2 linked regions of the Schizosaccharomyces pombe genome follow. The protein of the gene in region 1 interacts with the protein of each later gene in a pairwise test. Each region holds a gene or a part of one and is shown on either strand. Other genes may lie near its edges. The genes, in order: sib2 and SPOM_SPCC126.12.

Evidence for each region.
Region 2: the proteins of sib2 (region 1) and SPOM_SPCC126.12 interact in a two-hybrid assay, tested with the Schizosaccharomyces pombe proteins (one large-scale study listed by BioGRID).

What each region holds. Positions count from the first base shown.
Region 1 is NC_003424.3:868,878-873,273, reverse strand, and holds sib2 (ornithine N5 monooxygenase), read right to left. Parts: upstream 2,482-4,396; 5' UTR 2,394-2,481; intron 2,322-2,393; 5' UTR 2,250-2,321; coding exon 954-2,249; 3' UTR 501-953; downstream 1-500. Other genes in the region: Ino80 complex subunit Ies4, read right to left, coding at 1-107; ferrichrome synthetase Sib1, read left to right, coding at 3,747-4,396.
Region 2 is NC_003421.2:2,135,861-2,139,831, forward strand, and holds SPOM_SPCC126.12 (NGG1 interacting factor 3 family protein), read left to right. Parts: upstream 1-2,184; 5' UTR 2,185-2,260; coding exon 2,261-2,474; exon of another isoform or gene 2,475-2,527; coding exon 2,528-2,842; exon of another isoform or gene 2,843-2,894; coding exon 2,895-3,065; exon of another isoform or gene 3,066-3,106; intron 3,107-3,130; coding exon 3,131-3,267; 3' UTR 3,268-3,343; downstream 3,344-3,971. Other genes in the region: SPOM_SPCC126.11C (rrm type RNA-binding protein), read right to left, coding at 341-793, 844-908, 961-994.

The sequences.
Region 1 (4,396 bases):
TGAGAAGATGGTGATGCAGTAAAGTTTTGCTTCTCTTTCAAGGAACTTAAAACTTCTCGAAACCTTTCAGTTGGCACTTTTAAATGTAATACTAAAGTTTCGCTCATTATATGTTTATAATTACCCAAATATGTAATTTGTAAGAGCACCAAGCAAATAACTTTCGAACTCTTTTAACTAAATCGAAAACACTGATTAAAGGATAAAAAACTTCTTAAACTTCCTTTTCTTTAAATTTATCTCTCTTCAAATTATTTAGCAATAAGATGGAAACCTTTCTTAAAGACCAAAATTGAAAGGTAACTTGGAATAAGAGAAGACAGGAAAAAAATTTGAATGCGAGGTGGAAAGTATCAACTAAACGTGTTCCACCGTTGGGATCTGCCGTCCCATAGTTCGCCAGCTTGGACTTGGTGCACCGTCATGTCTCCAGTGTATATACATAAAATTTCTTTAACGAACAACATGCTTTGCAGTGAAGATAATTTTTCTACGAATAAGCGCGCTTAAATATTTTAGTGAAATCAAAATTAATTTATTTAATAATGTTAAGCATACTCACTGCTTACGTTTTGTATGTCAATTTGGGTCTTTAAGTAAAAGTAAGCTCGAATTTAGCAAAATACATTATAGCTATATGGATATCTGTATCAAGTCGTCTTTAATCGACCGGAATGTCAAAATACCTTTTATTGTCACGTAAGAAATTGGGATAGCACGACTTACTATCGAAATAAGGCATGAAAGGGCGAATGAAGGGAAATATTCACAGTAGCTTTAAATTGACCAAGTCATCGAAATCTATACAAATATACAGTGTAGAGATTCGTAAACCGAATAAAAGGTTCAAAAGAAAATGCAAAAGTCGAAGATTTCTCTATGTTCTTGTAAAAAGAATAAAAGATAATGAAAGACGGCGAAGCATCAAATGAGGTGAATAGTTAAGCTGAGAATCAATTAAGATAAGAAGCAGGGACCCGAGCAGTTGGTTTACTCGGACCAAACAGTTCCTTGGCTAAACCACCAGCTCGGATAGCAGCCCAGCTAAGAAGGGTTTCGCCGATTCCGTGTTGATTGCTGGTAATGCCGGCAACATAGACTTTTCCCTGTTTACTTGGGGCGTTTAGTACACAGTACTCCTCAGAAATTTGAGCGCCCTGCGAGTTGGGAAAAAGGGAGGACATTAAGACATCGAATGATTCATGATCATAACCAGTAGCTACATACAGGACATCAATTTTACGAGTTTCAGGCTTTTTGCTTTTGTCCATTTGACTAGTCAATTGAACAACTAAATGATCGCCTTCGTTCTTAATCGACTGAATGTCTGTATCACCCATTATTTGATGGAATTCTTGACCATACCTCAGTTTTTGCAAGTAGCACTCCTTAAACATCTCCTCCAATAGTGACTCTTTGACAACACTGTAATTGGTAGTACGGCCAACGCTTAGTCCTTTCAATCTAGCTTCAGTGGGAAGGTTGTACCACCAATGGGAGTTATGGCTGTCAAAGTAAAGCGAATTCACAAAAGGGCTTGAGTCACTGGGAACTGGGGCCAAATTGCGAAAGCACATTGCCAAAGGGGTCTTGGGGTCGAGAGAGTAATGACAGTGTTTCCATATTTCAGCAGCAGATTGACCGCATCCCACGACGAGAATGCCGTGTTTGGAATTTCGAAGCAACTTTTGACTATGATCTGACATGAACTTACTGGAGTGGACGATAAGTGGACTGTCGACTGATTTATACAATGGTGGTATATACGGCTGACAACCCGTAGTAATAATGATGTTTTTCGCTTGCCATTGAGTATCACCGTGACCCACAATGTACAGATCAGTTGCGGCATCGTAATGGAGTTTATTAATGTTAGCGTTGTACTCGACAAACTTGGAGAAATGGCTGGCTGCCCAGCATAAGTAGTCATGGTATTCGTAACGAGATGGCTCTAGGGTGGACATGTTAAGGAAACCAGATAATCGTTCCTGGCCATGCGAATGTAGATAGTTTAAAAAGGTGAAGTAAGAAGTAGGATCCCTGGGCGTTGCCAAATCCTTTACAAATGAGATTTGCATGTTTGAACCAGGAATCAGCATACCCTCATGCCAGGAAAACGTGGGCAACTTTTCAAACACGCGGATTTTTTTGTTCTTTAAGGGCTCCTCCGAATGGTCATGCAAAGCAATAAGGAAAGAAAGACTAGCGGGACCAAATCCAATAATTGCTAAATCTAGAGGTTCAGTCATTTTCTTATTTCCAAAGGTTTTTTTTTAAGAAAGAGGGACGAAATGAATTAATTAGATAATTAGGGATTTTCCCTAAGCAAGCAATAATATTAGAAAACTTGGTTCCATTATCCGAAAAAACATATTTTTCCTTTTCATACTTACCAAGTTTCACGATATTCTAGAATGCGCGGCTTTTTGAAATTAATTAGGCTAGCACTACTACAAATGTTTGCAAGAAGATTGTTGGTCGATTTTAAAATATTGTTATCCAACCCACAATACGTGCGAAAATGAGCCTATATAATGGAAGTATATGAGCACATGTATTTTAAGGAGTCCATTCCCTTTCGATAACATATGTCGCGCTTTCTCCGTCATAGCGCTAAGCCCTTACGTAACTGCAGTTAAGGTGGAAATTTTGTGAAATCCGAGAAAATCTCGAAGCATAAACAACCGTTAAAAAAAAGAGGATGGTGAAATGAAAATTCTGTTTTTCTTGAGCGAAATTCTTTTTTTATGGGAAATTAAAACAAAGCATCGCCAGGTATATGTTTTCTCCTCGCGTACATACGAATAAACAAAAAATAAGAAGTGCCTAAAATTAAGCATCGTTTTGTATTCTTAGGTATAAACAGAAGGTGAAAAGTGTACTGCCAAATTTAGTATTACGGAAAACCGAGTCTTTGTTATGAAATTATTTGAAAATCGTTAAAATTACCGCATACCAAGGTCTATATTTCTCTGTCATCTTCTTTCCCTCCCCTTTTCATCCACTTTCTCTATGCTGCGGTCGCATGCTCTGTATCTCGCAAGTCCGTAGTTTTTTGAACTATGCGGAAGCAAATCTGGAGTAAAGCGAAAAGGAAGTGGTAAGTGTGTTACAACACATTTTTTTTAATAGAATGGCATCGATTAAATGAGACATCAGAAAAAATGGAAAACTCTATTCATTCGTTTTCCACTACAAAAAGTCCCCTTTACTTGGACTCAGGTTTACCGACCGGCACCCCGCGTTGATCTTCTAGACTCTCTTCATCCGATCTCTATCGATCTGATAAATATAAGGTGGTAAAGTGGGCAATATTGTAAGCGAAAATCTAGGTCACATGCACTTCATTTGATATCTCTCCATTTTAAATTTCGGAAAAGATTAGTAATGAGGCTTTTCATGATCTTTCGAAAGTATTGAAAAATTCACTTAAAAGAGCAAACTCCGATGAAAATAGTCACCCGAAAAACTTCCAGTTTGTTGATTGCCTTGTTTAGACAGGCCTTTTTGATTGCACATTATAACGAACTTTAAGGCTGCGCCAAATCACGTAACTAAACTTCGTTAAGCAAGGGTGGTGTAATATTACAAGCATCCATATTTTAGCAGGATATTCCTCTACTTGGTTCTTACTGCTACTGTGTTTTAATGAAGGATTAATACATCCTTTAGCTATTGATACATTTGTGAAACAACACCTTCGTTATAAAATATTTCCGTGTCACTAAATTTTTTGATTGAGACTTATGAAGAATTCAAATGAAGAAGATGCTTTCTCAACTCAAATTTCTCAATTAGGTCCTATGCGGCCGTCAAGTGATGCCCCCTATCACGTTTTATCACTTCCCTTTTCACATCCTTACTCTGCATTTTTGGACGCTTGGAGTTGGCTGTTTTGTGGTATCACTGGTGGAGAAGTTTCATTCTTTTTTTTTCCTGTTTCAGACGATGTGATTCCTAATACTAATCCTAAAAATTGCCAATGCTACTTATATCATTCTACAAACTCCCAACTAGAACCCTTAGAAGTTTTTCACCTACATAAACTACATTCTGCCGTTTTCACTTCGCGTCGAGATCCATCCTTTGCTGACGATTTGTTTGAATCATCTAAACCATGTTTGAATCAACTTTTATCTTATTTTTCAGACATAACCGCTTTTCGATCTATGGATGTGGTTGCCGACATAGCCTTTGTCTGTTCTCCCAATTTCCTTACTTTAAAATGGAATTCGTCTCTGTTTGATGATGATTTAGCAAGATTACTTTTTTTCATGATTAACTCAAAAATCACTAATTACGACCTCCCCTTCTCCATCCTTAATTCTCCTTGTTCCGATTTATGCTTAAACTCTTCATCTCTTGCTAATTATTTACACGGGTGTTTTTATCATAA
Region 2 (3,971 bases), on another chromosome or scaffold:
GCTACTCACCAAGAATACATTCAAAGGAAAAATGGGAAGGAATTAACGTCCGATTTTTAACGCTTTGTGAAGATTAAAGAGTTATGTACAGAGTTTCAGAATAAGAAATACGATGAGATTCTTTATAACAAGAACTGGTTTGAGGGAAGGCAGAAATTGATTTAAAATCAAAAGGTAGAAACTTGAATGAGTTTTGGTAAGTCTCTAGGTTTCCCAATTACAGATAACGTGAAGGAGTATTTCAGAAGAGCGATATGGACAGTAGGTATCATATTAAGTCACGTACACTTCAGTGGAAGCAAAAAATAAGTATGAAAAGAATCTAACAGCTGCAAAAAGTTCATTTCTTTTGAGTTCTTCTCTTTTTACTGTTTTTTTTAATATAACAAGAGAGTTTAAAGCCATCAGCAGTTACGCCATCGAGCTTTTGGACAACTTGCTGAGCACTTGCGAGGGTACTGAATCGAACACTAGCACGCACCTTTCCTTGAGAATCGTTAACTTGGCAATTCAAAATTTCCCCAAAATTAAGCAACGTAGCAGCGACATCGTCAGAAGAAGTTCCGGGAGCAAGATTTTCAATAACTACGTTAGTGGGTCCGGCGATACCACGGATCGAAATAGCACCATTGCTTTGGGAATTAGAATTGGATGGCTTTGTTTGATTTTCTCGTACTATACCATCCCTTAGTTCTTGCGAGGGGAGAGTCAAACGGTTAAAAAGCTCATTATTCTTCAGTTGCTTAACAATACGTTTATCAAACAAACTTTTATCTGAAGTTAAAGCTGATCCCTTCACAATTTGTTAGAGTAAAAAAACATTGGAAAAAATAAAAAGCATACGGTTTTAGCATTTGTTGGTTTCCCAACACGTCCGCCAACTGTATGTTTGCCTAGCGACAGCGGTGCTATGTAAAAATATGTTAGCTTTATTTTATGGGTTTCCAGCTACGATTTTACCTTCTTGCTTCTTTTTGTTGCCTCGTTTTGCCATCCGTCCACGAGAACTTATTAGGTGCGTGTTGGTGGTAGTGCTGCTTAGTAGCAGGAATTGGAGGTGAGACGGGAGATCCTATATCGAACATAAACAAGAGTGAATATCAGGTAGAAAACCTGAGAAGTTTAACTGTTTTTCTTGAGCTTCTATTTAAAATTAGTCATGTAATCAATTCATTACTCCTATTTCAAGATTTTTCAATAGATATTGCAATCTTTTGATGATGAAATATCTTGAATATTTGCATGCATGTTGGTCATAGTACCATTTTAAACAATTAAGATTCCCAAATTATACATATTTCATCCTTCCTATAGACCTTGGAATGACCTTAGGAAAAAAAAGAGTTGTTTACAAATAATTGTCATATAGACCAATTAAAAAAAAAGCCGACACAAAAGGTCCAGTTATATTATATATTGAAATGTTTGAAGTGTACTATTAGCAATATGATAATCAATTTAATGTGTTCATTAAAATCCAAAGGAGATTAATCTGCTCCTTCTTAAATATTAGTTCTTGTTTCTTTCAACTCTTTCTTTACAGTTTTTTTCTGCACGGCAACTGTGAGCTGTAGCATTTTTAACGCTTGAGGAGATATAAAAACCGATTAATGCATTACCAATGTATATGTTTTGAATGTAACGAGTAGTCTAAGAAGTACTAGAACCGATTGAATGATAATGAGATTGCATTCGAACGTTTTTAAAAACTTGATGAACTAGAACACTAGACACTAAATTGTTTTGTACGTTTAATAAACGAGATTTTTTTTCCTAAGAATTTATTTCATGTCCCGAAGAATACGCACTACAAACATTAAATACTGGATGCTCTTTTACAAATGGGATAGAAATGCCTATGGCCTCTTCCTTTGACTGAAAAAATATTTTCTATAAACAGAGGAAATTAATAAACAAAGTAAATATTCAAATTGTGAAATTAACACTCAGCATTTCTTATATAGAGGCATTTGCAAGCGTAGATTTTTTTAGCTGTATTAGGATAGATAAAAAAATATCGGTAAAATAATAAAGTACTACCTAATCGTTTTTTAATGCTCGCTATGCAGTTCAATATTTTTTTACCGATACGCAGGACTGCATAGTTAAAATTGTGTATTGCTACGCGTTGCTAGAATTCCTTCATGCTCTACAGAATTTAGCAGATTTGAGAAAGCATATCCTAGGACTAAGTGTTGTCGTAAACGTGGTCTTACGGTCGTTCAGGAATCACTGCGTTTAATGGTATCTTTCCCCAAATATGTCTAAGGCAAATATTTCTTCCAAATTAAAAAAAGTAGTTGAGTCCATCTATAATCCAAAATTGGCGGATTCTTGGGACAACACTGGGCTTCTGCTTGAGGCTCCTTTCCCAAGAACAAATGCAAGTTCCGTACTTTTGACGATTGACTTGACTGAGAAAGTTGCTGAAGAAGCTATTTCAAATAAACTTGTATCATCTATTGTAGCATATCGTATGGCGGTTAACCTTCTACTTTTATTGTTTACACAACTTACTCACAACTAGACCCCATTATCTTTCGTGGGCTTAAAGCCATCACGATGGAGGATCCCCAACAAAGAAGCCTTTTAAAACTTGCTGCTGAAGGAATTCACGTTTACTCGCCTCATACAGCCGTTGATGCTGCTGTTGATGGAGTAAATGACTGGCTGGCCCAAGGTATAGCTGGAGGACGAAACAACATTAAAAGCGTGGTCCCAACTCAGCAAAATTCTGTCATGGCTGAGGCAGAAGGTTACGGTCGAATTTGCGAACTGAAGATTCCTACAACCTTGCGTGAATTGGTCCAAAGGGCTAAGGAGTTAACCGGCTTGCAATATGGTGAGCTTCTTTTTATCTTTATTGTTAATATTGTTAACCTATTTGATTGTAGTCCAAGTGTGTGCACCTAACGGATTAGATTCTCATATTTCCAAGGTTTCTTTATGTGCAGGTTCTGGTGGATCTGTGGTTATGAATACGGATGCAGATCTTTACTTTACTGGTGAATTGTCTCATCATCAAGTTTTAGCTGCGATGGCCAAAGGAATCTCAGTTATATTATGTAAGGAAAAATCTGTTCAGTTCACCTCTTTGGTATTATATATTATTCAACTAACAACAATGTAGGCGGACATTCCAATACAGAAAGAGGTTATTTAAAGGATGTAATGTGTCAAAAACTGGCTTCATCCTTTCACAAAGAAGGAGTAGATGCAAATGTGATTGTATCTTCTATGGATGCTGATCCTTTGACTACCATGTAGATTTACTAAAATAAAAAGCTGTTACTTATTTAACATAAATTGAAGAAATGCTAAAATTAAATTGCATTAATTTTGACTTTTCACAAAACTCATAATTTGTAGATTCTTCTTACTCTTCTATATGAAGTACATTTTTTAGAGAACCAAACTGGTTGATCTTGAACCAGGTATATTAGGAAATTTTTGATTTATGTTTTACTAATATAATATCGGTCATAATGATGCCAAAGCTTCAAAAACTAAGCTTTGTTTAGCTAAATAAAAAAGTTTCAATTATTTACTCTCCCTCCGGGATTCGAACCCGGGCTGCAAGCGTGACAGGCTTGTGTACTACCCCTATACTAAAGGAGATTATTGAAAACTTATTTTTTTTAGTTATACATATTGTAATACTCATATTAAATTTAAATGAAATTAAATAATTGAAGGAATATACTTTGGATTTAGTTATGAAACGAAGATATCAGCTTAAAGTTGTTGTAAAAATAATAAGTGATTTTGGGCTGTTAGCTTGTAGCACCGATTCAGAAAATAACAATTCAGCTTCTTACAGCTGTTGCAAACGGAGTAACCTTGATTCATGTTCATTTACTCTAGCAATGATAACATCGGGCTGTAATAAAACTTTATAAATATTTAAGTCTGTTACTTGCCTGAATTATAATTTAACTGTTTACAATCCGTTTTCTGTTTGTATGGGTTGC